4 linked regions of the Lonchura striata genome follow. The protein of the gene in region 4 purifies or fractionates together with the protein of the main gene of each other region. This does not show direct contact. Links are inferred from orthologs where the notes say so. Each region holds a gene or a part of one and is shown on either strand. Other genes may lie near its edges. The genes, in order: YAF2, ZNF503, PFDN4 and DCAF7.

Region 1 (7,347 bases), on a different chromosome or scaffold from region 4:
AATAAATTTTCTTCAGTCTAAAAGGCTGTCATGTGTGCCACCAAATCCCAGCAAAAGGATCAGAAATATTTAGTGAATGTTGAGAATGCTCTTTCATTCCTACCAGTGATCCTTCACATTACCTTAGGGAGGGGCTAAATGGAAAAAGTAGGGAAATTTCTACTATAAGCGTTTTCTGCCATGAAGCAGATTTAAAGAAACTATAGAGCTGAACAACTTTACAATTGATTATAAAATCTGAAAGGATAAAAGCTGGGTCCAAACTAGAAGAGTAAATGACAAGTAAGCAGTTAATGAATTAATTACTTGAAAATTACCAGGTACCTGAAAGTAAGTGGTTTGATAATTTCATTCCAGTTCACAGAGGACAAATATGAAAAAAAACCCATTGTGATCAGATTTTTATTGATCTTATATGCGCAACTACTGCTGCTGTGCTTTAACCTGCAAGAGTTTTGTGTACAATCCTCTGACGAATTTGGAGCCAAATTTGTCTAAGCATACAGTCAAATTATGACCCTAGAAAGACTCCTGGACTTAATTACCACCATGTTACTCAAGGTTCATGACAGCATATCCCTGCTGATGTCAGAGCCACTCTGTGTGAAACCTGAAGGATATGCTGATGAATCAACTCTCATAAGTGCTATAATTCCCTAAAAAATATACAGTATGTTTAGATCAAACTTGTACATGCAAGGAAGTGAAAACTCTTTTAAAACAGCTTTTAGGCTCTCTGATGTCATGAAGTATTTTAGATGTGGTCCCTCTCTGTTCTGGCCCTTTCTAAAGCAGAATTTCGCTCTCCTGCCTCCACACTCTAGTAAGAGGAGCATGAGTAGTCAGTGGGCTGCTCCCAAGGCTGAGCAAACATAGGCTGGAGGGGCAGTGCTTGCTGTCACCAATCTTATTGTCTTTATTATAGAGTCTGCAAGCAGATTTCACTTTTCACTGTCTCTGATTTTCAATTTTTCCCCACCCTAGTATCACATAGAAACCCAGCCAGGATTCAGGCCTTACTCTACCTAGCATTCCAAAAAACCCCTTGCCAGTCAAATTCCCATTAATTGATTTCATTGTATTAATTTTATTATACCACCACAACCCAAGCAAAACAGATACACTGTGCTGGAATAACATGCATTTGTTCTAGTACAATTTTATACTTATGTGCTATTCCTTTTCATGAATAGGGATTAAAATGTGGTTTATCTACAACATAATGATAATCATCTTTATGGAGAGTTTTTTAAGCTCAAGCAGTGACAAAGTGATTACTTAATTGCTCAAGATGCTGATAATGCAGCAACTGGCACAAGTTTGCTGTGCACAGTGATGGTTCAAGTATTGACTAAATGGCAAGTCTTTGTATGGATTTACACAGCACTAGCTTGTTCTTAATAACCTTGTATGTGAACACCTTTTTTTAGGAACAACTGTAATTTTTTCTGCAGTAAGAATTTTTACACAATAGGTACTTAAAAATTTCTACCATCCTCTTTCACATCTTCTTTACTATGAATAAACTTTTAGCTGAGAAGTCATGAATGCCAGAACATTTATACCATACACCGAAATACATAACTTCCAATAGCTATCAGCATATATGATTTTTAATATCATAATCATACTATGAGCATTTCCCTTGTACAATGCTACAAAAAATATAAATTTTAAGATAATAAGACAACAAACACTAACTAGAGAGTGATGCCTGATGTAGAAAGATACAATTATATTGCTCATCCCTTCTGTCTCAAAAATGTGTTTACATTAACTCAGCTGAATTAAAACAGGAGGCAAATAATTGCTCTGGAAGAACTGTACCAGACAAAGTCAAAATTTAAGGATATCTAAAATTATAGTACATTCATCCCTTTTCTTTCCCAGAAACATTTTTTAAAAGACTGCTAATACTGATGCCATCAATTTTGTCATTCAAAGTTTCTAGATCATGTGCCATACAGACATTTAGCAAAGACAGATGAGTTTTCTGGGTTTACATGAATACCACTGGATGACAAAGTATCTGAGTATGGAATTTTTTACTTTTTCAGTTTACCAAAGTCCCCCTGAATCTCTTCAGTATCTGGCTATTACACACACCTCTTACATATGCTTTCCAGCATTGCTGCTAAGTAATGCCTTCCATCACTGTTTCAGTTGCAGGGATGACATGGGATGGCTTGATGCTGTCAGTGGTCTCCTCTTGTGTTCCTATTTGAGGACAGAACAAGGATGCAAGGAAAATAGTATTTTTTTCCTTTTCAGGATTATTGAAGAATAAGACCCACACTTGCACAGACCCATGGCCACTGTGACTTGCATCATGACCCATACACTTGAACTTTTGAATGTACCATCCACATTTCAGCTTCCAAAATAAAGATTAGTTGGAGCTCAGGGGAAACAAGCCCAATGCTGCTGGGAAAACATGGTTATTTTTAGTCATGGTCATTTGCATGATGACCTTGAAGCAGAAGGTCTAGAACACAACAGCCAGAAAGATTACTCTTTTGTTAGGGATAACATTTATGGATGGCAGTTGCATTTCCTCCTCCTGATTATACATGGTCCTCTCCAAGAATGGTTCCTGAGGGATTAAAACATATCTAGGCACTTTGAAACCACAAGTGGAAATTCCGTTTCCCACAGTTGGTATAGAGAAAGTAGGCTGTGACAGGGGAAAGGTCAAGAGAAAGCAGTCATATCAAAATAATTACTTTCCAAAAGTAGGGAAATAATGTTTGTTTATACAGTGACTGAGAAAGAGTGTGCTGTGGAAAAGGGCAAAAGGAGACAGGTTTCTCTACTGCTTTCCATCAAGAGATTTCTACATAAGGTCAGGTTCAAGCACAGGTGGGATACCTCATATAATTCTGTAATTTTAAACATCCGCTTCTGGACTACTGGTGTAAAGTACTCTTTATAGTCAATGGAAAGAAATAGTCTCCATAAGTGAGACAATTGTCTTAGCATCAGATCAATCACCTTCAGCATGAGCTTGTTTCTCCTGCTGAGAGCTGGGTCTGGGCTCCTAGTCCATGTAGATGTCTAACTAAATGCACATGAGCCCAGGCCAGCTGTCTGTGCGTGGCATGCCTCACCCTCAGATGTGCAATCCGTACATTTTATTCATAATTTACAGAAGACTGCATGAGAAGCCTAAAGAGAAATTGCAATAGACAAAGGAAAGGAAAGGTGAGGCATATATAGAAAGAGAACCGTAAGGTGAGGAAAATGGCAAGAGTGGAAGGTGGACAGGTTTCCAGTTGCTGACACACAGCATTCCTAGAGAGACAGAGAAAACTGTGAATCTCGTAAAAGTGTTATTCATTTGCATAAATGCTACATCCCAGTTAAGCGGTCTTTAATTGCTTCCCTAATGTGTCAAGTGCTTTACCTACATTTTCCCTCTCTATCCTAGTATTTCTAGCTGAAATTTATCTTGACAACTTTGCCTTCAAAATCAGAAAGTTTCTCTGTTGTCCACTTGCTTAATTTTTAAACACGTCTGTGTCTTCATACACTTCAGTAAAACTCGAAATTTGAGCATATTTTGTTATGGAAATCCCATAATTTCTTGGCAATGCAGCAGGAATAGCTTTGGCACTGAGATGCTGACCGGTATAATTTTATTGTCTTCTTGCATTCTGCTCTCTACCTGTGTGTCTAGCTGCTGTCTTTGTTATGCTCCTAGGACATGTGCTCTTTGTTCTATTTGCACAGCACCCTGCAAAATGGCATCCTAGTCTGTGACTGGACTCTGGTGCACTCTGATAATAGAGGTGATAAACACCCGTGTCCTGTCTGAGGTTGCTATGGTGCATGAGAACCACGCTGTTCTTGCAAGCTTTTAAGTGCAAAAGTAGGACCCTGCGCACGGGGACAAGGCAACACCATTCTCCAGGTTTTGTATTGATACCCAGGGTGATCTCCCATGGCCTCAGGCCAACGGGATGCTTTAGACCGAGACTTCTAGGCAGAAGTTCGCATTCAGCTTATCCGCGTTTGTTTCTTACTGTAAACCACTGCCCGGAGCAATTTCTGTGGGAGGAAGCACAGGACGGTCCAGCCGCTAATGCGAGCAACCTCGGGCGACAACACGGGCGGCTTCACGGGAAGAGCCCGCAGGCCGGCGGCAGTCACTCACCGCGCCGCTCTGCCCATCCGCACCGCCTCCCCGCCGGGGCCGCCCCCGGCGCGGCGCCGCCCCCGCTCCGCCCGCCGCCCCCAGCAGCCCCCGCGCTGCCCCGGGCCCGCCGCCGCTCGCAGCGCCCGAGCCGCCGCGCAGCGAAGCTGCCGCCGTGCGCGGCCCGCCGGGCGCCGCGGCCTGCGGGCGCGCTGGTTGGCGGCGGCGGGACACGTGAGCGGGGAGGCGGCGGCGGCAGCGGGAGTTTCCCCGACAGCTGGGGCTTGCGGCGGCGGCTCCTCCTCCCCGGGTCCCCGCGAGAGCCCGGAGACCCCCCGCGCTCCTCCTTATTGACAAACGCACAAAGGGCCGCGCCGGGGCCGGGCCGGGACGCGTCTGGAGCCGGCATGGGGGACAAGAAGAGCCCGACCAGGTAGGGGCAGCGGCGGCGCTTTCTCGTTCCCCCGCGCCCTCCGGGGGCGCGGGGCCGGCGGCGGGGGCGCGCCGGGGGCGGCGGGCGCGTCGCGGCCGGTGCTGCCCCTGGCGCGCGTGTGTCTCCGCAGGCCGAAGCGGCAGCCGAAACCCTCCTCGGACGAGGGGTACTGGGACTGCAGCGTCTGCACCTTCCGCAACAGCGCCGAGGCCTTCAAGTGCTTGATGTGCGACGTGAGGAAGGGCACCTCCACACGGTGGGTCGCCGGCGGAGGGGGAGCGGGGCCGGCGGGGGGCGGCTGTGCGGCCGTGACAGGAATCGGGGCCGGGGGAGCCGCGGTGCATCCCCAGGGTGAGAGGGAGGGCGGCCGTGACAGGAATCGGGGCTCGTTTCTCAGGAGTGGGGGCGGGAACACGCAGCCTCCGCCGGCCGCGGCTCCTCGGTGAACCTGACCCAGCGCTGCGCCGGCGTGTGTAGAAACAGAAATAATAAATACCAGGAAGGGCATAATTGCCTGCACAGCCTAACCCTGGAGGTATTGTGCCCTCTCACGAACAAGAACTGTCCTCTAGGGTGTGCCTGCTAAGACAGTCACCCTTTAAATTTTTTAAAAATTTATTTTAATTTTTTTCCTGTGAGTTTAACTTTGCTTCATACATAACCCCTTTGTTTGATTATTATTGGTAGCATTATTTTAATTTGCTTTTCATCACAGAGCATCACCATGCAGGTTTCCGAGGGCTATAGGGGGTGGATTATAACCCTTCAGTGTTCAGGAGAAATTTTTAGCTGAATTGCGCTTTATGGAATTGTCTCCGTGTGTACCCGTGACTTCCCAGGAGGACCTTTCCTCTGTACACCAGTCACAAAGCTTGCTGTAGATTAACTGGTTCCTGTACCTGCCGGTGGCCTAAACATGTGTGCTTGGGGAATGGAGGCGTTTTACAAACGAACTTGAGTGCACTTGTAGCTATGCATGCTAATAGAAGGTTGCTCAGGAATCCTTTCTTACCTTTTCATACCTACGGGTTAATCCCATCAGCAAGAGAAGTTTAAATGGCAATCAAGTTGCAATCCTATCAAAAGCCACAATTACATTGTAGATATTGGTCAAAGCAGTGATGAGTATGACTTGCAATAAATGTTACATGATTGAAATCGTAAGGGCAACGTTGGGTCCAATTACTCGATAAAAATGATTATTCTTTATTTCTGGAGCTAGTTTCCCTGACTTCTGAAAACCAGAATGAATATTGGAAGGACTTCTCATAACTTCAGTTGTGAATATTAGTTGAATGTTTTTGTTTGTTTGTTTTTTAACAAAGAAAATCAGTAAGGTAAATGTGACAGGAGGGAATTGCATCTGTCACATATATTATGGTTTCCTGTTATAACAATGGCATTCTGTTTATATCACAGAGAGATGTGTACAGATTGGTATCGTTCAGCAAAATAAGACTGATGAATTAATGCAAAGGCTTTAAAAACATAATGCAAAAAGCCTCTAACATCCAATCAGTTTCATAAGAAAATTCAGTTTAAAATTATGTTTTATTGCTTTGGAAGCTCAGCTGGATAAAAGCATTGAAACTTAAAATTTTTTTTTTCTTCTGAGAAACAAATATTTTCATTGTCTTCGAGTTTCCCTGCTTGAATATTTAATATTTAAAATAATTTTTCAACAAATTGTCTTTTTTCTTTTTTTAGTTTCCACTTTCTCCCTGACAGTGACCTGGTATGCAAACTGTAGTCAATAGGTTGATTCTTTTTTCCCCCTCTACTTAAACTCTATAACAATGTGTCCCTGATTACGTTTATGGGACTCTTTGGGACTCTTTTTCCCCCTAAGATTTAGATGGGTTGCATCTTCATATTGCAAAATCCAAGTTTTACACATGGCATGAGGTAGATAAAAGTTGAAGTTTTAGGCCAGGCAGCTTTTGTCTCCAGTTCTGATATATGATTTGAGCCAGTAAGGAGACCTTTGTGTCCATGAAGAGAATCATTAGGGTGCCAAAGAAACACAAAAGGCCATCTGGGTGCTTGTTTTTTTTTCGTTGTGTTTTTTGTTGTGGGTTTGTTTTTTTTTTTTTTTTTTTTTCCCTAAAGACCTCTGGAGTCCAAGTGACCAAATGATTACCTTGGAAAAGCATTTGTTGGTGTTGCCTATAGGACAAAATGGTTTTCATCAACATGGGGCAGGATAACGATGCTACCATGTTTTGATGGCACTGAGAATGCATTATTTATTTATTTTAGTCTTCCATTTTGAAGCTTGATGTTAGATTAAGGTGCTGCATCAGCATGGTTGTTGCTGTGCAATGCTTCTTGCTTAAAGGCTTTAACTGTGGCTTTTTTTACTGATTAGAGCTTTGTCTATAAGACATTGTAAAATGCTACCTTTATTTTAAATTCAGAGCAATCTCTTTCTTTTTGTTGAAATGTGTACCTGATTCTGCATGTTAAAAGTTCATTAAATGTGACCAGATTTGCAGGTGGAAAAACAGGCAATTGTATTGAAGCTAAGTGGATTTGAAGGCCACTGGAAATCAGGTGCAAAGTTGATTAAAGCTTTTTTTATTTTAATACTGATTGTGCACATTTGCCTTTCCAGAAATATTTTCAGGTATGGGTAGGTTTTGTGGGTGTTTTCACTGTTGAATAATTTCTTCTCTCTGAAAGAGTTATCTTTTGTGCCAGAGGCTAGAAGTGGATTATGTTCTTTAGTAACTGATATAATTGTTAAGATTAGTGCAAATTTTTACAATTTCTTGATTATATT
Region 2 (6,972 bases), on a different chromosome or scaffold from region 4:
CAGGGTTTGCAGCTCGCCAGCCTGACCTGTCAAGCGGATTATTTTAGAGGGAGATTAATAGGGGAGGCGGGCTGCAATAATAATCGTTTTGTTTGATGTGACAACTTTGATAGGCGTTGATTTACTTACAAACTGATAGGCTTTTAATTGAGCGCCTCCATCCAGCTTGAGATGAAAGGAAAACCGCATTGAAAAGCTGCCCGAGTGCCCTCGAGCCTCAATACTGATTAGCCATCTCGACAGTGAATAGTTCAAGGCATTTTCAAACTTTTTTCCTCTCTCGCTCTCGCTCTCCTCTCCTCCTCAAATATCTGCCAGCCCACTCCTTTTTAAGAGAAAATAAATCATTTCCATTGTGTGCAAATAAAATCGACTTGACATGCTTGCCAATAGCTGGTAGGTAAAGGAAAGTGTGGACTGGCACTTGTTAATTAATTCCTCCTTTGCTCTCCTTTTTTTTTTTTTTAGGTTACAATTTTCCTTTGTAAAAGGAGGAAGACGGGTTCCAACCCTTGGATTTTTTTTTTCAAAGGAATAAAAGCAACAGCCACCAAAACTTCAACAAGACTACACAAGTAAATGGCAAACAGCAAACCGTCTGCACGGACTCATTAAACAAGAATCCCTCGCGAAGGTTACGAGCAGGACAGTATCGCTCTTCTTCGGTTCAAGAGAGGAAAGGAGCCCGCAGCAGGCAAATCACAAACTCCGCACCGCTTTCAAGCTGCAGCCCCGCCGTCCGCCCGATCCTACGCGTGTGCATCCTAACTCCGAGCCCCTCGCTGGGAATCGTTTTCTGCGTGTGTTAAGCGCAGTGAATAAGTTCTCATAGCTCAAAAATGCTTTGGAGGGCGCAAATGGGAGGAGATGTCTTGGGGCTGATTTTTTTACAAGGTTCTACATAAAAAAAGTTTACAGTACTGAGTGATATTTAAATCTCATTTCAAAGGCTGAGTGGAGAGGGAAAAAAAAAAAAGAAAAAGAAAAGCAAATGAAAAAGCTGTCCTCTGAAGTTGCTAATTAAATTACCCTCTGATGCTTCTACTTCAGCCAGAAAGATCGGGGTTCGTGCTGTTCCCCCCGCTCCGTCCCCCGCTTTTCCCGTCGGAGCGCTGCCTGTTTTATACATGTACCGGCAATCGCCTCTGCTTCCTTGGCTTACAAGTAAAACAACCCTTTCCCGAAATCACCCTCACCTCCACAAGAAAAGAGAGAGGGAAGGAAAAATGGGGAGGGAGAGCCTTCCCACAGCTGACTCTACCTTAAGACAATTAATCTTTAGTCTTTCACCCTGGGAGGCAGGATAAATACAACGAGAAAACAGATAGGAGTCTCCCCGGTCCTGTAAGGAAAACAGCTGTTCCAAGCACTTTAATGCAAATGAACACAAATGAAGGTTTCAGCTTTTTTTTTTTTTTTTTTCTTCCAGAGTTTTACTGCACTCCATTTATCAATTGGACTTGACAACAAAAGAAAGAACTGGGGGAAAACCTGGGGCAGATTCAAGTCACTTCCACTCTAGATAAAGGAGGGGGGGCGGGGGAGGAGTTCCTTGAGGGCAAGTTGTGGGTCTTGTCAGTCCTATTGCAATATCGTGGGGTTTGTGCAATATTTCTTTCTCTACCTCCTCTTCCCTGCCTTTTAATTTTGATGGTTTTGCAAGATGACCGCGGTAATTGCAAAATGAAACTACGTTTATGATTATCCGCTGAGAAGTTGTGCCAATAAACCTTATCTTTCAGAGAAAAGATAGAAATTAAAAAGTTTGTTAAAATTAATGTTATCTTCATTAAAGCTAGAGGAGTTCCCTGTATTTATCCTACTCTGTATACTATAGTAAAAAAGTGATTTAAATAAAATCCAGCCGATACACTTACTGCGCTGCAAGATTTAAAGGGTACCTCTTGGCGGGGGAAGGGGGGGATACCGAGGAAAACCTGCCTTACACAGACCTCGTAAGAAGAGCAGGTCATTAAAGACTATCTGACACATCTGTTTAGGGACTGGGACAGATCAGTGTTTCAAGGGAAGAAAAAGGACTAGGTTCAGCAAATCTAAACGTGAGAAAGTGAAAGTCCTTCCTCTCGTCCAACCCTTCCAGGATCAGCGCCTGTTCTGGTTGGAGTCCAGGTCAGGAATTGGACGCGACCCCTAAAGCACTTGCCTTGTTCTTCACTTGTCAAACGTGTTTTATCTCTAAGTGACCTTTTTGTTAATGTTGTAGATTGTGTGGGCCACCATGTCAGATCCGGAAACAAAAGTAAAAGATTGATTAACACATTTTGCCTGTGAAAAAATGTTATGGGATGAGGAGGTGGGGGGATAGTGGGAAGCAAAGTACAAAGAGAAAAAAGGCAACCCAGAGACTTGAAGGCTTGCGGATTCCTCTCGGAGCATCCGCCGGCACCCGCAAAACCGGGGTTGAGGGCAGATGACTCGGTACCCTTCGGGAGCGCACAGACACACAGCAGGACGAATGTAACGCCCGGGTGGACACCGTGTGCGTACCCAGAAGGCTCTCAGCACAGCCTAGCTGAAAATCAAACACATAAATGGCGAACAAGTACTCTCGTTAGGGCGAGGGGCCGCCTCCCCAGGCCCCCGCTGCCGGGGACCGGTTCAGCCCGGCGGGTGCAGCGACGAAGGACACTTTCGAATAGGACGAAGAGGGAAGGGGAAGAGGAGTCCAGCAGCCCTCCCCGACAGGGCAGTGAGGGGCTGGGGAGGGCGACCGGCTGCTGGCAAACAAATCCAGTTTACTCCAAGGATTTATTCCGTAAATTAAAAGGCTTTTTCTCCCGAGGAGCCCGTCTCTCCCACTGTTTTCTTTCCTTCTTCCTCCCTCTCCCTCTCTCTCTCTCCTTCCCCCTTCAAGTCACACCAGGCTTGTAATCAGCAACAAAAGCTGACATAAATCAAGGGCGGATTGACAGGGGCTGACAAATAACTGATTGATTGCGGTTGGGGAGCACTGACAATTGACGGCGGGGCGGAGAGTCCCGAAAGGCGGCGGCGGGCTGTGCGTGACAGCCCCGCGTGTGACGACCTCCCCCAATCCCGCCGCGCTCCCCGCGCCGCCGCAAGCCGCGCCGCAGCGCCCCGGCTCCCGCCCGCTGCCGCCGGCGACGTGCAGGCCGGCGCTCTGCAGGTTCTCGTCCGGGCCTCCCCCGCGCTGCCAGGCGGGAGGGGCGGGAAAAGCGCCCCGCGCCCTTCCGCGGGTCCCGGAGGGGACACGGCGGAGCGCTGGTCCCGGAGCGGTCCCGGCGGGCTGGCCCCGGGGCTGGGGGCCGCCGGCCGGGCCCGCAAGCGCCGTGCGCGGCGGGCGGCAGGTCGTGCTCGGGGCGGTGTGCGAGCGGCGGGGGCGGGCGGGGGGAGCGCGGCGGAGCCCACGGCCGCCCCCCGGCAGGCGCGGCGCCCCCGGCCCCGCGGCCGCCCCGCCGCTGCCGCGCGATCCGCGCTGGCTGCGGAGGAAGAAAAACGTTCGCAGCGCGTGATGTGAAACACAGAATTAACGCCCATCCCATCCTAGGAGCGAAAACAAGGAAGGAGGGGAGGGGAGAGGGAAGGCGGACGAGAAAGGGAAGGGGAAAAAAAAAAAAAAAAAAGAGCGAGAGACCATTAAAAACGGAGAAAAAAAAGCCCAGAAAAGGGAACGTCACATCCCCTTGACCCTCCAATCACCTCGGGGTCCCATTTGATTGGAAGGCGGCAAAGGCTTTAATCTCAGACTAATTCAGCTGCTTTTGAAGTGAGTTTCTTTGCCAGATCCCGGGCTGGATGGGCAGCGGCTCGCATCACAGCTGAGCGGCGGAGGCGAGCGCTCCGCGCCGCGCCAGCCGGGGGAGCTGAGAGCGGCCGAGGGGGACCGCGGCACACGCTCGCAGCCCCCACCCCCGCCCCCAGCACAGCCCAAGGATTACTCGGCTTTTTTTTCCTCCGCTTTCTCTCCGGCCGGCTCCCCCTTTCCCTCCCCCTCCCCACCCACGCCCTCCCCGCCAGAGAGAGCCACGGGACATTGTATGTTTGTTTTTCTGCTCGGGGGGCGTGTGGCTTTTTTCCTTTCTCGCCCGCAGAAAGCGAGCGAGCGTTTCCGAGTGCGAGCGGCGCCACTTGCCCCAGTTTTCATGCGAGGTTTTGGGTCATGATCACATCGCCCTCGCTTTCTGCTATAAGAAGTAGTAAGCGCAGCAGCAGCCTCAGCGAGCCCGGAGGCAGCCCCCGCCGCAGCCGCAGCGCCGCCGACCTCGCCGGGCCGAACGGGCACGCTGGGAATAACGGCAGCAGCGCCGCCGCCAAGCCCTGCTTCCACGCCGTCCCCCCCTCGGACCCGCTACGCCAAGCCAACCGCCTTCCCATCAAAGTCTTGAAAATGCTCACGGCGCGGACTGGACACATTTTACACCCTGAATACCTGCAGCCTTTACCCTCCACGCCCGTCAGCCCCATCGAGGTAAGCACCCGGCCCCCGCCGCTTTCTCTCGTCCCTGCCCGGGCGCTGGCTGTGCATGGCGGCTCCGCCAGCCGCCCTCGGCACTTTGCTGCGCTTTGAAATGCATTTATACCGGGACAGGGGCTTTTTCTGATTTCGAGTTAGCGCAAGGAGCCGCTCCTGGTCATTGATTCCGTGTTTAGTGCGATAATTCTAGTTCCTGTGTAAATTAATATTTTCTTCTTGCTATTTTGAGCCCCTTTTTTTTTTTTTTTTGGTGGGTTTTTTTGGTGGGTTTTTTTGGTTTTTTTTTTTTTTTTTTTTTTGAGAAGCGGGGTGGGTGGAAGGAACCGATCCACGCTGGGGTCACGATCCGGCCACCCAAATAAGCAGCGCTCCGACCGCCAAACAGCCTTGCTTTTGCAGGGAGTATGTTGGGGTGGGGTGGGGGGGACACACACGGGACGGGACGACACGACGAGGAGAGCGACGGGCTCAAACGTGGGTGCGGCAGGACAACTATTTCGGCTCGCCGACCGATTCCTTTCAAGTACCGACGCGGATCTGTACTTTGGGGGGCCTGTTGGTCCCCTTTCTGCTCTGTCGAGGTTACCGGTCCCCCTCTGCGTAGGTCGCTGTTTGCGGGACCGAAACTCGAAACAGAGCTGGTTGTGGGAAGGGTGTGTCCGTGGGAATTAATGATTTCATTAAGGTCTCTGCGGAGCGAGGACTCTCTTCTCCTGGGGAGCCCTGCTCGCCGGCTAGCTCGGGCTCTATTTATAAATAGTGCCAGCAGTCAGGGTGCAGAAATGCTGCAGTCGCTATAGTTCACGGGCGGGTTTGCGGGCAGCACGGCCCGAGCGACGCCGAGACGCCGCTGCCCGGGCCGATGCCGGGGAGGCTGGGGACGCTGAAGGCGGCCGCGGCGAGCTCGCAGGGTTACAAAAATCCCCAGCCCTTTTTAAAGGCTTTATGGAAAATGGTGCATTCAAGGGAGGGGGCTGTCAAGTTGATGAATGCGCACAAACTGTTCGTTACTTCCAGGCTGTGCTCTGCAGAAACCTACGGGACAAGAGTTCTATGTAAGTAATGGGGGTTTTCTCGGACCCCCATTAAACCTCTTTCTTTGTGTGTCCTTCTGATTTCCGCAGCTGGATGCAAAGAAGAGCCCTCTGGCCCTTTTGGCACAAACTTGCTCTCAGATTGGGAAGCCGGACCCGTCCCCTTCCTCCAAACTCTCTTCGGTCACCTCCAATGGCTCCGGAGGCGACAAGGACTCCAAGTCGGGCCCCTTAAAGCTGAGCGACATCGGCGTGGAGGACAAATCGAGCTTCAAGCCGTACTCCAAGCCGGGCGCGGAGAAGAAGGAGCCGGGGGCGGCGGGCTGCGCGGGCGCCCCCGCCGCGGGGGTCGCGGCCGGGGAGAAGTCGGGATTCCGGGTGCCGAGCGCCACCTGCCAGCCGTTCACCCCAAGGACAGGCAGCCCCAACTCCAGCGCCTCCGCCTGCTCGCCCGGGCTGCTGCCGGCCGAGGGCAAAGGCGGGGAGGACAAGAAGGACTCGGAGGGCTGCGGAAAGAGCGGCAGCTCCGGCTCGGAGGGAGGCCCGGGCACCACCAGCATCAGCCACAGCCGGATTAGCGTGAGCTGTGCCGGGATTAACGTGGAGGTCAACCAGCACCAGGAGAGCACGCCGGGCTCCAAGCCCATCGCATCGGACTCCGCCTCCTCCTGCAGCAGCACCACCGCCACCTCCTCCACCTCCGTTCTGGGCTCCGGCCTCGTGGCCCCCGTCTCCCCTTACAAGCCGGGCCAGACGGTTTTCCCCCTGCCCCCGGCGGGCATGAGCTACCCGGGGACGCTGGCTGGAGCCTACGCCGGCTACCCGCCGCAGTTCCTGCCGCACGGAGTGGCTCTGGACCCCACCAAATCCTCCAGCCTGGTGGGGGCCCAGCTGGCCGCCGCCAGCAGCCTGGGCTGCAGTAAGCCGGCGGGGTCGAGCCCGCTGGCGGGCGCGTCGCCGCCGTCGGTGATGACGGCGAGCCTGTGCCGAGACCCGTACTGCCTAAGCTACCACTGCGCCAGCCACCTGGCAGGCGCCGCCGGAGCCTCCTGTGCCCACGACCAAGCCCTCAAGTCCGGATACCCCCTCGTCTACCCCACCCACCCTTTGCACAGCGTCCACTCCTCGCTGACCGGCGCCACGCCGCCTTCGCTAGCCGGCCACCCTTTGTACCCCTACGGCTTCATGCTCCCCAACGACCCCCAGCCCCACATCTGCAACTGGGTGTCGGCCAACGGACCCTGCGACAAGCGCTTTGCCACCTCGGAGGAGCTGCTTAGCCACTTGCGGACCCATACTGCCTTCCCGGGCACCGATAAACTCCTCTCCAGCTACCCCAGCTCCTCATCGCTGGCCAGCGCAGCGGCCGCAGCCATGGCTTGCCACATGCACATCCCCACGACGGGCGCCCCGGGCAGCCCGGGCACGCTGGCCTTGCGCAGCCCGCACCACGCGCTGGGACTCGGCAGCCGCTACCACCCC
Region 3 (6,895 bases), on a different chromosome or scaffold from region 4:
AAGCAAAAAAACCCCTTTATTCTATTTTCACTCAAATACTGGTTTTAAACATCAAACTCCTCTTCTTATGTCCCATTCTGGATGATTACTCCTCTCCAGGATGGCAGTAGCAGTGGATGAAAACTCAAATTCCACCAGCCCAGGAATCCTCCAGCTGGCCATGACTTGTGTGGGGTTATAAACATTGCCACACTCCACTACTAAAGGAGCCTCTAAATCAGTGGTTCAAGAAAATGAAGAAGATTATTGACTTAATTCAAGCAAAGATTGCTTAAAAAATAAAAATCGGGCCATCTTTCTTTGTGAAGAAACATTTATTATCTGCTTTAGATGAGCAAGCAGTGCTTCATGCACTGCATCTTCTAGAGAGGAGCTTCCAGGGGAGAATCAGGGAGAAAATGGTGAAGCAGACCAAGAAACCGAGGTCCAGGAGAAGATGCTCTGAGAGTCAGCTTGGAATTACTCAGGACTTGGCAGGTTTTGCTTTTTTTTTTCTGGAAATTAGAATCACTCACTGGGATGTTACAATTTCTTGTCTCTTTTAGCAATATTGCCCTGCCTGAGCAGGGAAGGGTTTGTGCAATAGTTACTGACCCAGGCTGAATATTTCTCTTTGAACAGAAATCTGGAAGCTTTTGTCACCTTCCATGCAGAGCTGTGGAAGGCACATTTATTTATTTTTAAAAGCAGCAGCATTTAGGAATCCCTGGAAGTGTCCCAGGCCAGGTTGGAAGGGTTTGGAGCAACCTGGGATAGAGGAAGGTGCCCCTGCCTGTGGTGGGGGGTGAAATATGATGATTTTTGAAGTCCCTTTCAACTCAAACCACTCTGTAACTCCATGAATATGTAAAATCTTGGTGAATTTTTTACCCATGAGGTAATTAATCCTCATTTCACACTTCTCACAGAAAAAAACTCTGCTGAAGAACAATAATTTACATTCTTCTTTATGTGCAGTTACACATTTAGCCTTCTGCCACGGCATTTCCATGCCTTGCCCACATGTAGTTGACACCCAAAGCAGCACTTTTGTGATGGCACTGAAAAATTCTGAGTATTTCCAGTTGTAGTGGAATTCATGGTGAGGTTGCTTTTTATTTAACACGAGGGATTTTGAAAGAATGAGGGCAGAAAGGTGAGAAAGTCTGCTTTCCTTCCCTCAGATTACAAAATAATGAAAGAAATCCTCACTGTGGGGGATTTGCCACATAAATAATTAGGAGATGTCTCTTTTTTTTTGGAAAAGATAAACACCCTTAGAAAAGGATTTTTTTTTTTTACTTCAAGCTCCATTCCCCCTGCAATGCTGGTACAAGAATGGCAGACACAAGGACCTGCACTCCACAGTAAATCCCAAATATTGTGGGAATGTCACAGCCACCTCCTTCACCACACTGGCACGACTGAAACGGGACAAATTCGTGTGGCTTTTGCTCAAAGTGGTCCCCTCCATCCTGGAGAAACAACCACTTCATCCCCATTTCCAAGTCACAAACCGTGTTGGTGTCTGAGGGTTTGGAGATCACCAAGGCCTGAGAAAGGTCTGTGGAGCTTCAGGGAGAGGGGAGAAGAATTTGGGAACTCCAAAGATTTCCATGAGGCAGGGAGAGGGGAGAAGAGTTTGGGAACTCCAGAGGTCTCCATGAGGCAGGGAGAGAGGAGAAGAATTTGGGAACTCCAAAGATTTCCATGAGGCAGGGAGAGGGGAGACAAGTTTGGGAACTCCAGAGGTCTCCATGGGGCAGGGAGAGAGGAGAAGAATTTGGGAACTCCAAAGATTTCCATGAGGCAGGGAGAGGGGAGACAAGTTTGGGAACTCCAGAGGTCTCCATGGGGCAGGGAGAGAGGAGAAGAATTTGGGAACTCCAGAGATTTCCATGAGGCAGGGAGAGAGGAGAAGAGTTTGGGAACTCCAAAGGTTTCCATGAGGCAGGGAGAGAGGAGACAAGTTTGAGAACTCCAGAGATTTCCATGAGGCAGGGAGAGGGGAGACAAGTTTGGGAACTCCAGAGGTCTCCATGAGGCAGCAAAGCATGGCAATGCATTCCCCAGCGAGCTGCCCTGCAGAAGGCTGGAGCAAGGAAGGGAAAATGTGCAAAGAGCCCCAGAGGAGCCGTGAGACGAGGGCAGGGCGTGGAAGGGATCCCAGGAGGAGAAGCCAAACAACAGCAGCAGGGAGCAGAGCAAGAAGGAGCAAGTCCTTTATGCAACGGGAGAGGAGCGAGGGCGCTGGGTTCAGCGGGTTCCTCTCCTTCCCTCCACGCTGCCTGGCTGCACTCGTGAGCTGTTTTCACTTTTATTTACATAAGAAAGGTCTGCAGTGAGTTACTCTTGGCAAGGCTCACTCCGCAGAGCCTGCCCGAGCGTGTGGGAGAATAAAAAGGATTTCTTTTCAAAGCCTTGGAGTCATCAGATTCTTGTGAAATCCACTCCTTTTCTCTTGGGGGAAGCTGCACTGGCTCCGTGTGCTGGGCAGTTCCTGCAGCTAGGGAAATACCCGCTGTGTCCTTTCCTAGCAGGAGGGGTGAGGGTTTGTTTTCTGAGGAAAAGAGAGGTTTGGAGCTGGGATTATGTTTTTATAGAAATTAATAATAAATAATGCGCTTCTCTGGGGAGAAATTTGGTGATGAACTTCTTTCCTCAGTGGGAAGCAAGGCACGGTGATTATGATGATGATGCACCAAAATAAAATGTAACATCAGCCTGAGGAGCACCCAAAATATCCTTTATTATCCTGTCTTTCCCACTGGTTTGGAACTGGAGTTGTGAAATGAGCAGCCATTCGGAACCGAAAAACAACCAAACCAGAAATCATTTTATTTCAGGCAATATTATAGAATTAAGTATCCCATCCTACTCCATCCCATCCCATTCACCCATCCCATGGATCCCATCCATATCCCACTATCCCATCCCATCATCCCATCCCATCCCAATATCCCATTATCCCATTATCCCAATATCCCATTATCCCGTGGATTCTAATATCCCAATATCCCATGGATCCCATCGCAATATCCCAGTATCCCGTTATCCCAATATCCCATGGATCCCATCCCAATATCCCAATATCCCAATATCCCAATATCCCAATATCCCAATATCCCATGGATCCCATCCCATGGATTCCAATATCCTGTTATCCTGTTATCCCACTATCCCATGGATCCAAATATCCCAATATCCCGTTATCCCAATATCCCATGGATCCCATTATCCCAATATCCCATTATCCCATGGATCCCATCCCATGGATTCCAATATCCTGTTATCCTGTTATCCCACTATCCCATGGATCCAAATATCCCAATATCCCATTATCCCAATATCCCATGGATCCCATTATCCCAATATCCCATTATCCCATGGATCCCATTATCCCATGGATTCTGTTATCCTGTTATCCCATGGATCTCATTCCATTCTCTCATTCTCCCAATATCCCAATAGTTATCCCGTTATGCCGTGGGTCCCAATATCCCAATATCCCATGGTTCCCATCCTGTTATCCCGTTATCCCAATATCCCAATATCCCAATAGTTATCCCGTTATCCTGTTATCCCGTTTTCCCAATATCCCAATAGTTATCCCGTTATCCCAATAGTTATCCCGCTATCCCAATAGTTATCCCAATAGTTATCCCGTTATCCCAATAGTTATCCCGCTATCCCAATAGTTATCCTGCTATCCCAATAGTTATCCCGTTATCCCAATAGTTATCCCGTTATCCCGTTATCCCAATAGTTATCCCAATAGTTATCCCTCTATCCCAATAGTTATCCCAATAGTTATCCCGCTATCCCAATAGTTATCCCAATAGTTATCCCGTTATCCCAATAGTTATCCCGTTATCCCAATAGTTATCCTGCTATCCCAATAGTTATCCCGTTATCCCAATAGTTATCCCGTTATCCCGTTATCCCAATAGTTATCCCGCTATCCCAATAGTTATCCCGCGATCCCGCGGGTCCCACCCGTTCCCGTCTCATGGCGCCCCCTGGCGGACCCGCACGGCGCCTGCCGCCCCTCCCACCGGGCCGTACCAAGTGCTCCGGGGGCGCCTTCGCATCCCTCCGAGCTCCGCGGCCGCTCGGGACATCCCGGCGCGCTGCCAGCGGCGCCCATAGAGACAATCCCCGATTTTCCCAGGGCCGCGGCCTTTTCCTGGAGTTTTTCCTTTTCCTCCTTCTTCTCCCCGCGCCCGCTGCCCCCCCTGTGCGCGGGTGGTTCAGCCCCGCATGGCTGCTGCAGCGCCAACATGGCCGCCACCATGAAGAAGGCGGTGAGTGGGGAGCGGGCCCGGCGGATTCGCTCCTTTCCAGCAGCATTTGCTCCCTTCCCGCAGGAATTCCATCCCTCCCGAGGCTGCTCCGCGGTGTCCCTCAGCCTCGGACGCGGCCGGGCCGAGCCGTGCCCAGAACGGCGCGGCCGCCGCTCGGGAGCTGAGGGCCCCGGGCTCGGGCGGCTCGTTTAAACAACGATGATAAACAGGGTGGACGTGAGGAGAAAATTGTTCTCTGAGAGGGTGCTTAGTTATGGAATCGTCGTCATCGTGGCTTGGGTTGGAAAGGAGCTTTAAATTAATCTCATTCCATCATTGCACCTCCTGCCATGGCAGGGACACCTCGCACTGTCCCAGGGGCTCCGAGGCCCGACCTCCCTCACAATTCTTTCCTAAATATCCCTCCTGTCTGTCAATTCGCAGCCATTCTGCTCTGCATGTCACTAACTGCTCCTGTTCATGGTGTCTCTGCAGAGAAAACTCGGAGCAGGGTGTTCAGTTCAGCCGCCAGTGGCAAGGAAACTGTTTTGCCTTTAGGATGGCAGTGTTGTAATTGGATGTTCCCCATCTAAATGTGGGTATTTCTGGTGTTCTTGAAGAGGCACTTTGAGCAATCAGGTGCATAAGCAGAGTGTGGTGTTTGCCAGATTATTTCCCATCACTTTGTAGGAGCATCCTTGCAGTGAAACTCAAATTAATATAAGGACACAAATCATCATTTTTACCTCTCCTCCTCACAGGCTGCAGAAGATGTCAATGTCACCTTCGAAGATCAACAGAAAATTAACAAGTTTGCAAGAAACACCAGCAGGATCACAGAGCTGAAAGAAGAGATAGATGTGAAAAAGGTATATTTGCTTTAGATCTCATGAGCTTTTCGTTGGATTTTCAGCTGGAACAGAGAAAATTAGCAGCAGTGAGTTACTGTGAGTTCAGGTTATGCTTGGGTTCTGATATGAGGTTTCTTATACTTTGGAAATAGAGAATGATAAGATATCATATTAATTAATAAATGCCACTAATATCAGATATTAGTGACATTTAAACCTGTATTACCCTTGCTTGGACAGTTAATTATTCCGTTAATGACAGATAATGAGTGCTGACTTGGGGTTTTTACTGGATGGAATTGCTGAATTCCAGCTCTGACTCTGATCTCGTGGATGTCCTGGTGGTGGGTGGGATTTGTCCCCGGACTCCAGCCTCTCTGGCCTCCTTACCCAGCTGTGCCCATGGAAGGGCTTTACACAGGGAGCCTCTTTCTGTGTCCTGGCAAACAGAAGCAGCTGCAGAACCTGGAGGATGCCTGTGATGACATCATGCTGCTGGATGATGAAGATTCCCACCTGATTCCCTACCAGATTGGGGATGTCTTCATCAGCCACTCCCTGGAGGAGACGCAGGAGATGCTGGAGGAGGCCAAGGTTTGTCTGGAGCAGCTGGGCTGTGCTGTGAGCTGGGCACTGGGGTGGGTCTGTGCACCCTCTGCAGCTTTCTCAGTCTGAAATTTGGTTTGGTTTAGGATTTGAACTACTCCAAAGGCACTCCAGCAGTGAATCCTGCAGCCAGACCTGGGAATGAGTTGGAAAAGAGGCACCTCTCTGCTGGTTCTGTGTTGCTGACAAGCCTGGCTCAGTTTGTTGCACAGGATTGATTTGAATTTATTTTTTTCTTTTGCAGAGGAGTTTACAGGAGGAAATTGAGGCGCTGGAATCCCGAGTGGAGTCGATCCAGAGCGTGTTGTCTGACCTCAAAGTTCAGCTCTATGCCAAGTTTGGGAATAACATAAATCTGGAGGCTGAGGACAGTTAAAGCTTTTCTAAACACAACACCCAACTTTTCCTTAGGTTATTAAATGTTTTGATAACATTGCTGCAATTATACTGAGAACAGAAAATCCATCCCTTTCTTTTTGTTGATTTGTCTTTTTTTTTTTTTACTTCCCTGTATAAAGTTCTGTACATTTAATAAGAACTTCCTTATTTTGGTTATTGCAGTTATTTATTTATTCAGGAAAGCACCGACTTCACATTGCTGGCAAAGCATCAAAATTGGAATATTTGCGTGGTTTATTAAAGCAATAAAGCCAGGCATGTATTGGAGTTTCCTGGGTTTTGTTTTCCACTCATGAAAAGGTTTAAAACAAATGGAAGGAGGGAATTTTGGAGTGGCTGTTGGCTAAAAACTGTGTGACACGGGACATGATGAGGGAATGATGCTGTCCAGGGGTTTTTAAGAGCCCTCCTGGAGCTCCTAAATTCCTCCTCTGTGTTTCACCCTCAGCTCAGGTGTCAGGAGTTTGCCAGGGGACAAACAAGGGCTCTTTAAAGCTCAGTTTTGTAGTGAGGAAAAGCTTTTGGAGCCCCCATATTCACTCATTTACTGCTTTGTATTTGGGAATCCCAAAAACTGCTGCAAGTCACAGTGGTGAGTCTTAATTTCTAATTGTCCTGAACAGCTCCTAAATCCATATTTCTGTAGCAAATTGATGTCACAGTGGTTCATAGAGTCAGCATCGAGCCCTAATCTTTGCCTCCATCACTAGGAGGAGTTGAATGTAATTTTTAAATGTCTTAATTACCTTAATTTGTCTCTATAACCAAACAAAACAC
Region 4 (7,488 bases):
CAGGCTGGAGCTCCTGCAGGCCCAGCTCAGCAGGTAGGCAGGGTTGGAGAGGGCCTGGAGGACTCTAGGCCATCACCTTCTGCTTTCTAGAGGTGGCTGCAGTGGGCTCTGTGTGCAGCAACACCACATCCTGACGCCTGGGACACTGCATTCCTGGGGAGGGGGTGGGAGTGCTTTGCAAAGGCAGCGGCTTCTCAAAGGACAAATCCTGACCCTGGCTGTGGCCCAGCCCCTCATCTGCTGCTGTGTCACCACCCTTGGCATCTGTCACCACCTCCAGGATCTCCCACAGTGCCACTCGAGATCTGTCACTTTGCCATGGCTTCCAAACTCAATGCAACTGCAGATACTAAATCATCCACAGGCAAAACTGGAGCCCTTTGCAGGTCCCCTCTTCCTGCTGCAAAGACCTACAAGCATCTTCTTGCTTGAGCAAATGAGCCTCATGGCCATCATTGGCCTCTAAATAAGAAAAATACATGATTTTTCAAACTGACAGAGAGTAGGCTTAGATTGATTTCTAGGAAAAAGTCCTTCCCTGTGAGGGGGTTGAGACCTGCCACAGGGTGCCCAGAGCAGCTGTGGCTGCCCCATCCCTGAAGTCTTCTATGTCAGGTTGGAAGGGGCTTGGAGCAACCTACTCTAATGGCAGGTGTCCCTGCCCATGGCTGGGGATGGAACTGGATGAGCTTTAAGATCCCTTTCAACCCCAACTGTTCTGTGATTTTTGAAGAAGGAAGAGCCCACACTGGAGGTGCAGGTTTAATGTCCCCAGGCAGCACACATGAGGGGCTGACACTGTGGGTTCTGCTGCCCTTGTTAAGCTCATTTCAGCACACACTTGAATTTAGATGTCTCTTCAGTGCACCATCCTACTGCACTGGGGACAGATCTGCCCACTCTGTCAGTGATGCTGTGACTGTGTCCTGCAAGTGGGACTGTGTTCTGCAAGTGTGGCTGTGCCCACTCCTGCAAGTGCTGCTCACATGGCAGAAAGAATAGACTTCTGCTTTACTGTTTTCTTCTGTTCCTGAGTTAAAAGTGGTTGGCACTAACCTGCCTTGCTCCATCTGTCAGAACAGGCAGCTGGCCTGGAGAATTGATCCAGATTAAAACTAACCATTGCAATCTTTTCCCCCCTCCAGGGTAATTTTAGCTTTTTTCAAATCCCTGCTCCAGATCCCAGTTTGGCTCCACATAAAATTGGGCAGAGGATGATTGAGTGTGGCAGGAGAGAGATGGCAGGATTGATCTCTCTCTGGTAGTGCCGGTTTGAAGCTCTCTAAAAACCTCAACAAGCAGCAGGGAAAGCATCACTGCCCTGGGGTAGCGGGATCGGCACCTCCTCCCAGCGCCTCCCCTGCCCAGCTGCAGGATGCAAAAGGGTTCCCTGCGCTGACGCCAGGCTGCTCTGTCCCCAGGCTGGAGTCCAGGATGTCGTCAGACATTCATATAATCCTGCAGCTCCTGCAGCGCCAGCTGTCCCAAGTGCCACCCGCGTACAGCCCCATCTCGCCGAGCTCCCACAGCCTGGCCATGTACGGCATCGTCCCGCGGAGCCTGGAGCCGCTCGGCCCCTGTGCGCCTCTGCAGGACCAGGAGATGCCGACCCAGGAGCAGGTAAGGTCAGCCCTGCTGGCTCAGCCCCCACCAGGCTCCTTCAGCCCCGAGTTCTCGCCAGGCAAGGCACAGCCAAACACTGATGGGTCCCGCCAAAGCCACGGCGTCTTGCCCTGGGAGCAGATCTGCCCAGTGCACCACTGGTTTTGGGGCACCGCTGCTATCCCCAACGCTGCCAGGCTGCCCATCAGTGGGGAAGGAAGGGGGTTTCTCTGCTCTGAGGCTTTCTCAAGTGAAAAATAACATTTTGGGGCTTGGAGCTGATGAGGCTCCAAGGTTGATGAGGAGAGAGTATGCCTACTTCGTTTTACTTTTACCATCACCCACACAATTCCTCATTTCCCACCAGAGCCCGAGCTACACGGAGGTAGAAAAGTTCCACTTGAAATCCAGGGACTCCTTGTCAAGCGGGATGCAGCTGTCGGTGTCATCCGACAAAACCATGACGGTCTACTCTGAGCAGGAGCACCCCTCGCCACCTCTCCTGAACCCAGAGCCTCCCCACCAAAGGGCACCAAGCGCCCAGGGACTCTTGAGGGGCTCTCGTTTCCCTTCCCTCCCTGAGCACTTGGAGGCATCTTCCGAGCACCAGGACATTCAGAGACACCTCTCCGACCCCGTGCTTCCTGGAAGTTAGAGACGTGGGGGCTGCAGGGCGAGTCAAGAGGAACCTCAGCTGCAGACCCGGTCAGTTGATGTTGGTTTTGACTGCAAGGGTAAAACATTGGACAATGCCATTGGCTCAGGGGTATAATTTGTAGCTATCTTCTGCCACCATGACAGGAAGTATAGAGTGGCTGGCTTCCAAGGCCAATGTTTTCCAGAGGTTCCCAATAGAGTAGATTTCATTTGCACATTAGAGTGAACCTAGAACAGCTCTTACAGCCACCATCGAGCTGGTTAGGCCACGTGGTTCCCACCACCTCCTCCTTGCCAAGGCTTCTTCTCGAGAAGGGCACAAGCCAAGCGAGCCACAGCAACCACAGGAGAGCCGATCCAGGGCTCTGGGCTGCGAGGCTGTGTTGGAATCCTTGGGAGCAGGGAACACTGTGTTGGTACAAGGCTCAGCCCAGCAGAGCCTGCAGGCACTACAGAAGGGTGGTCACCATAGGACTGTGAGATCTCCACGGTGTGGTCCAGGGGAAACTGCAGGTGGCAAGCCCAGGACAAGGACAGAGGACAGAAGTTTGTCCGACTTGATTGCCACTGAGAAGTGAAGGGCCAACATCCCCTGCCACCTCAGCCTGCTTCAGCACGAGTCCCAGAGCACTGACTTCTCCAGCAAGGCTGATCACACCTTGCAAACCCCAACACGCATCCCACAGCTCACCAGGTAACTCCAAGTCGCCACTGGCCTGGGCATAAAGCACAAAATTCAAAAGCACAATCCCAGGAAGCTGAGAAGCCCCAGACACCCCGTGTCCAGTCCTCCCTCCCAGCCTCCCTCTTTTGATAAAGGTTCAATAGGTGCTTCCTCCTGCCCACCCCTTCTCCCGGCAGACTCCGCAGCATTCCCGTAGGAGAAGCCCACGTAGCGCTGCCGCTCGCCACTCGGGTAGATGCTGTGATAGACCTAGACCGCCAGCTCCAGTATTGTATCGAGCTCCCTCTGAGAGTAGTCAAACTGTGAGCATCTCTTTCTCTGGAGTTTTAGTGTACACTTTGCTAATAAAGATGTTTTTGGCACCTAAGGTGAATTACAGCTGTGTTCGTTGGGAGCATCCATGAGTTCATCCCGGGCATCGTCACCCCAAAAAGGCTGTGGTCAAAGCCCGGTGACCTCATCCAAGGAGTGTGGGGCTATGCGCAGTCAGCTCAAGGGTGGAGCCTGCGGAGGCTTCGCCGAGCAATCCCTTCCCAAAAGGACATTTGGAAAACCTTTTCTGCGAGCCCAGGCAGCTGCATACGAGAAATGATCTCTCAACCACAACTCGGGCAGAGCCCAGAGCAGCGGTGCTTGCAGCGGGTAGCCCTGCCAGGAGCACGGCGCTGCCCAGAGCGGCCCCGCAGCGCGCCGAGCGGACACGGAGCTGCGGGGGCTGGAGCCGGGACCGCACATCCCCGACCCCGGCCGGCCGCACAGCCCGCGGCGGGTCCGGCCAGCCTCGCTGCGCCTCGAGCGGCGTGCCGGGCACAGCGAGCAGCTCCCTGGGCAGCCGGCTGCACCCCTTCTGCCAGTACGCGCCAGGGCTGCTCCCAAAAAAGCACCATAATGAACTGCTTGTTAATTAGAGATTAAGCGCGGGCCCGTCCGCCACTCGGCCGAGGCGGGGCTCGAACCCGCGACACACGAGAGCCTGAAGCGGCCCCACCCGCCTCGGGCTGGCGTGACTGACATCGCTTCCAGCCAATCGATCACCGCTAAGGGCCCAAGGTCCCGCCTCCAGTTAATGCGACCCCGGCCAGCCAACAAGATGTCGACAACGAGCGTGCCCGCCCCCCCCGGGCGGGGCCAAGCGCAGCCGTAGGTTACCCCAGCCGGAGTGCGCCCGTCCGTCTGGAGTGAAGGGCCAGACGGCCAATAGAAAGCCGAGGCGGGCTGAGCGCACAGGCAGATCGCCCAATAGGCAGCCGCCGCTCTGAGTGACAGTCGAGACGCCCAACCCGCGCGCAGTGGGCGGCGCTCCCCGCGTGGCTTCCGTTCCCGTTGTGTGAGGGGCCGCGTCCCGCACGGCCTCAGCAGCGCCGCCGCCGCTGCCGGGTCTGGGCCGGCACCGGGGCCGAGCCGTTCCCCGGGGCCGAGCCGCGCCTCCCCGCCGCCCCGAGGGCGAGCCGAGCCTTCCCCGCTCCCCGGCACCCCGGGGGCCGCGCCGTGCCCCGTCCGCTCCTGTCCCGGGGCCGCGCTGAGGCTCCCCCCGGCCCGCGCCGCCTCCCCGCTCCCTCCGGCCGGGTCCCTCCGCAGGCTGCCTGGGCCCGGCCCGCGGCCCCCCCGGCCCAGCCATGTCGCTGCACGGGAAGCGGAAGGAGATCTATAAATACGAGGCGCCCTGGACCGTGTACGCCATGAACTGGAGCGTCCGGCCCGACAAGCGGTTTCGCCTGGCGCTGGGCAGTTTCGTGGAGGAGTACAACAACAAGGTGGGCAGGGTGGGCACAGGGGCTGGGGCAGAACGAGGCTGGGGGAGCGGGGGCGCCTCACGGCCAGAGCGGTCAGGGACCCCCAATGCAGGCCTGGACCACGTCAGGCTGGTCTCTGCTAACCCGGGGTGAGGGACACAGGGAAGAGCCCTGGGGGCTGCTGGTTCTGGGATAACGCTGCTGCAGGCTTCTCGTGACCTCTGATCTTCGGAATTAACGATTGTGTTGGCTTCGATCACATAAGCACCGCGTGCTATGAGTTCTCTGTGATGTAAAGAGCTGGAAACTAAAGGTATGATATGGGTCTGGTTGCTGCTGCTATAGAAATAAAACAATTTCCCCTGGCTTGGGCATATCTGGTTGGGCATATCTGGCTTTTTGCTCAATTTGCACAAAGGAAAGTTTGTGGCCAGTACATATATATGCATATAGCTATAAAGAAGTTCCACCTCAATGTGATGAACTTCTTTCCATGGAGGGTGGCAGAGCAGTGGAACAGGTTGGTCAAGCAGCTTTTGGAGTCTCCCTTTCCTGTGACATTCCAAACCCACCTGGATGTATTCCTGTGTCACTTGATCCAGGTTACTCTGCCTAGAAAGGGGGATTGGACTGGAGAGTTCCCTTCCACTCCCTGTGATGTACAGGGTGTCTGAGACTGTGTTGGGAATGTGCTGTTCTCATGTACTTTCTTGCTGTGGAGGACTTGAGTGTGGTAACTTTTTTCATAACTATATAAACCCCTCTCAGTATTGATTCCTCAGTACTTTTCCCTGAGAACAAGGGTGTAATGAGGCATGAGATTGTATCTTCAGTGTTTCACTGCAAAGTGTGAGTGAAGAATGTCACACCAGTAACAGAGACCAGTTCATCGCTCAGAACACATGTGCAGTCACTTCTGAACACCTTCAAGGTGCTGGCCGGTATAATGAATTACTTAGAAATCAAAGAGAGATGAGAAGATGGATGAAGTTATAGAGCATCCTGAAATTCTTGTGAAACTGAAGGTTTGCCCACAGAGCTTGGTTTATATCATGTAGCTGTGTAGCCTTATCAAGGTGTTTAATGGAGATTGTGGAAAATACAGTCAGAAAGTTGTCTTGGGGACATGCCTCTGTAGAGGTTGTGCTGTACACAGCTGGCTCCTGGCACTGGAGCGCACCGACAGGCCCTGACCAGATGCTTCCCACATTTCCACATCCTCCCAAGCAGTGCCCCAGAGAGAGAGGGTTCAGGGCAGTTCTTCTGCAGGAAGGTCATTTGTTCTCTTAAGATCCTGCACTGCAAAGAAAAATTGATTGAATGCTGGAGATTAATTGGTGCAGTGGCATCTTTCTGATTGTAAAATAATCGTGAAATGTTATTTTAGGTAGTTATAAATTAGACTAAAGTTAAGGAGGTTTTCAAACTACTGTGGACTTACTTCACTGTTCCTCCAACCATATAAGAAAAAGAAGCCGTTACCAAATTCTGCATCATTTAGTTCCGTCTGATTCTTTTGTATCAAGTTAGAGATAGGTTTTTTTTAGAACTTAAGGGATGCTGATTAAAGGTGGTTCTTTACTCGCATGCACTGTTGCAAATATGCTTTATGTTGATAAGTGCTTGGATTATAATATGCTAAAATTAGGTATGGATTTTCCTATATTGAAGTGTTGGAGCGACAAATAAATATTTAGCATTCCTAGCTACTGGCATGGCAAAATCACAAAACTAGTTGAGGCTGAACACGCTGATCCTGGTTTTCTCTCTGGAAAGACTTATAGGGAGATGTAGAATGGTTCAAATTGTATCCAGACTGACAGTTACTTTCCCTTAGGCATTACCTCAGTCTTACCTGGGCTGGACCTCAGGCACTCCTTTGTGCAGCAGCATTCTTGCCTCATGTGCAGAAGGGAGAGAGAGAGGGCTCTGATGTAATTGGCATCCTAGAAATAATTCCATGTTCCATCCCCTCGTGTTCAGCCTGCACGAGAGGCTGAGTGGAGGGGTTCCGTGATGACTGTGTGTGATCAAGTCCCGAGAGAAGAGTCACAGCTCTGAACTTGCAGAGTTTCTCAAGCATTCCTGCTGCTCCCAGCAGGGCAGTGCCTGCCTCCCCCTCGCAGTCACTGCCAGCTGCTCCTGCTCTGGGCGCTGGGCAGGCCCCTGAGCTGCAGCAGCTCTGCTAGTGATAGTACAATTCCTGTTCTCCAGCCTGGCCTGCACCTACACATGGCAAAGATCAGAGCTACTGGATTGCTGAATTGCTTATCTTAAGGTCTGAGGAGGGGTTAAATGTGATTATGCAGTGCAGGAATATTTACATTAACACCAGTGAAAGGGAATCCTTTGCTCTTTGAGATTTGCTTCTGGAGAGGATGTTGATTGTTTTGTGTAGGATTATTACAATCATGTTGAGTGGCAAAAAAACATAAGCAAGGGAGAAATTATTAGAGGTCATTTGTCTTATGATCCTAACCTTGCCATAAAATCTTTTATCACCATGGACAATTTGCTTCCTTTGTAAAATCTGATGAATACTTCTGATCCCTAAAGGAGTTAGAAAGCTATTTGTCAATCACTTCAGAAGTCTGGGAGATTTTTGACTGATTTATACTAGGATATGAAGGATAGTAAGGAGTTGCTATAATAGAGAGGGCAAGACAGGCTGTGTTTCAGTTTTTGGAAGCATATTTGGCTGCATCTTTTTGTTATGAGATGGAAAGGATGGAGCTTCTCATTGTGGAGGGTGGGGCAAGGCTTTGCATTTAAGAGAATCTCTAAATGAGCTCATAAAACTGCAAATTAATT

What was found.
Region 1: the proteins of DCAF7 (region 4) and YAF2 purify together in Homo sapiens (affinity purification with mass spectrometry; 3 studies listed by BioGRID and IntAct, counting the BioPlex papers as one, with this or other methods). This does not show direct contact. The link is inferred for Lonchura striata from reciprocal best matches to the Homo sapiens genes DCAF7 and YAF2.
Region 2: the proteins of DCAF7 (region 4) and ZNF503 purify together in Homo sapiens (affinity purification with mass spectrometry; 4 studies listed by BioGRID and IntAct, counting the BioPlex papers as one, with this or other methods). This does not show direct contact. The link is inferred for Lonchura striata from reciprocal best matches to the Homo sapiens genes DCAF7 and ZNF503.
Region 3: the proteins of DCAF7 (region 4) and PFDN4 purify together in Homo sapiens (affinity purification with mass spectrometry; 3 studies listed by BioGRID and IntAct, with this or other methods). This does not show direct contact. The link is inferred for Lonchura striata from reciprocal best matches to the Homo sapiens genes DCAF7 and PFDN4.

What each region holds. Positions count from the first base shown.
Region 1 is NC_134607.1:38,823,482-38,830,828, reverse strand, and holds the start of YAF2 (YY1-associated factor 2), read left to right. Parts: upstream 1-4,346; 5' UTR 4,347-4,539; coding exon 4,540-4,565; intron 4,566-4,695; coding exon 4,696-4,821; intron 4,822-7,347. UniProt on the Homo sapiens protein: Binds to MYC and inhibits MYC-mediated transactivation. Also binds to MYCN and enhances MYCN-dependent transcriptional activation. Increases calpain 2-mediated proteolysis of YY1 in vitro.
Region 2 is NC_134609.1:11,135,249-11,142,220, forward strand, and holds the start of ZNF503 (zinc finger protein 503), read left to right. Parts: upstream 1-3,972; 5' UTR 3,973-4,141; coding exon 4,142-4,450; intron 4,451-5,580; coding exon 5,581-6,972. UniProt on the Homo sapiens protein: May function as a transcriptional repressor.
Region 3 is NC_134619.1:2,290,617-2,297,511, forward strand, and holds PFDN4 (prefoldin subunit 4), read left to right. Parts: upstream 1-4,178; 5' UTR 4,179-4,259; coding exon 4,260-4,283; intron 4,284-5,023; coding exon 5,024-5,131; intron 5,132-5,563; coding exon 5,564-5,707; intron 5,708-5,963; coding exon 5,964-6,095; 3' UTR 6,096-6,385; downstream 6,386-6,895. UniProt on the Homo sapiens protein: Binds specifically to cytosolic chaperonin (c-CPN) and transfers target proteins to it. Binds to nascent polypeptide chain and promotes folding in an environment in which there are many competing pathways for nonnative proteins.
Region 4 is NC_134627.1:9,009,015-9,016,502, reverse strand, and holds the start of DCAF7 (DDB1- and CUL4-associated factor 7), read left to right. Parts: upstream 1-4,472; 5' UTR 4,473-4,560; coding exon 4,561-4,698; intron 4,699-7,488. Other genes in the region: voltage-gated inwardly rectifying potassium channel KCNH6, read left to right, coding at 1-33, 1,422-1,620, 1,970-2,257. UniProt on the Homo sapiens protein: Involved in craniofacial development. Acts upstream of the EDN1 pathway and is required for formation of the upper jaw equivalent, the palatoquadrate. The activity required for EDN1 pathway function differs between the first and second arches.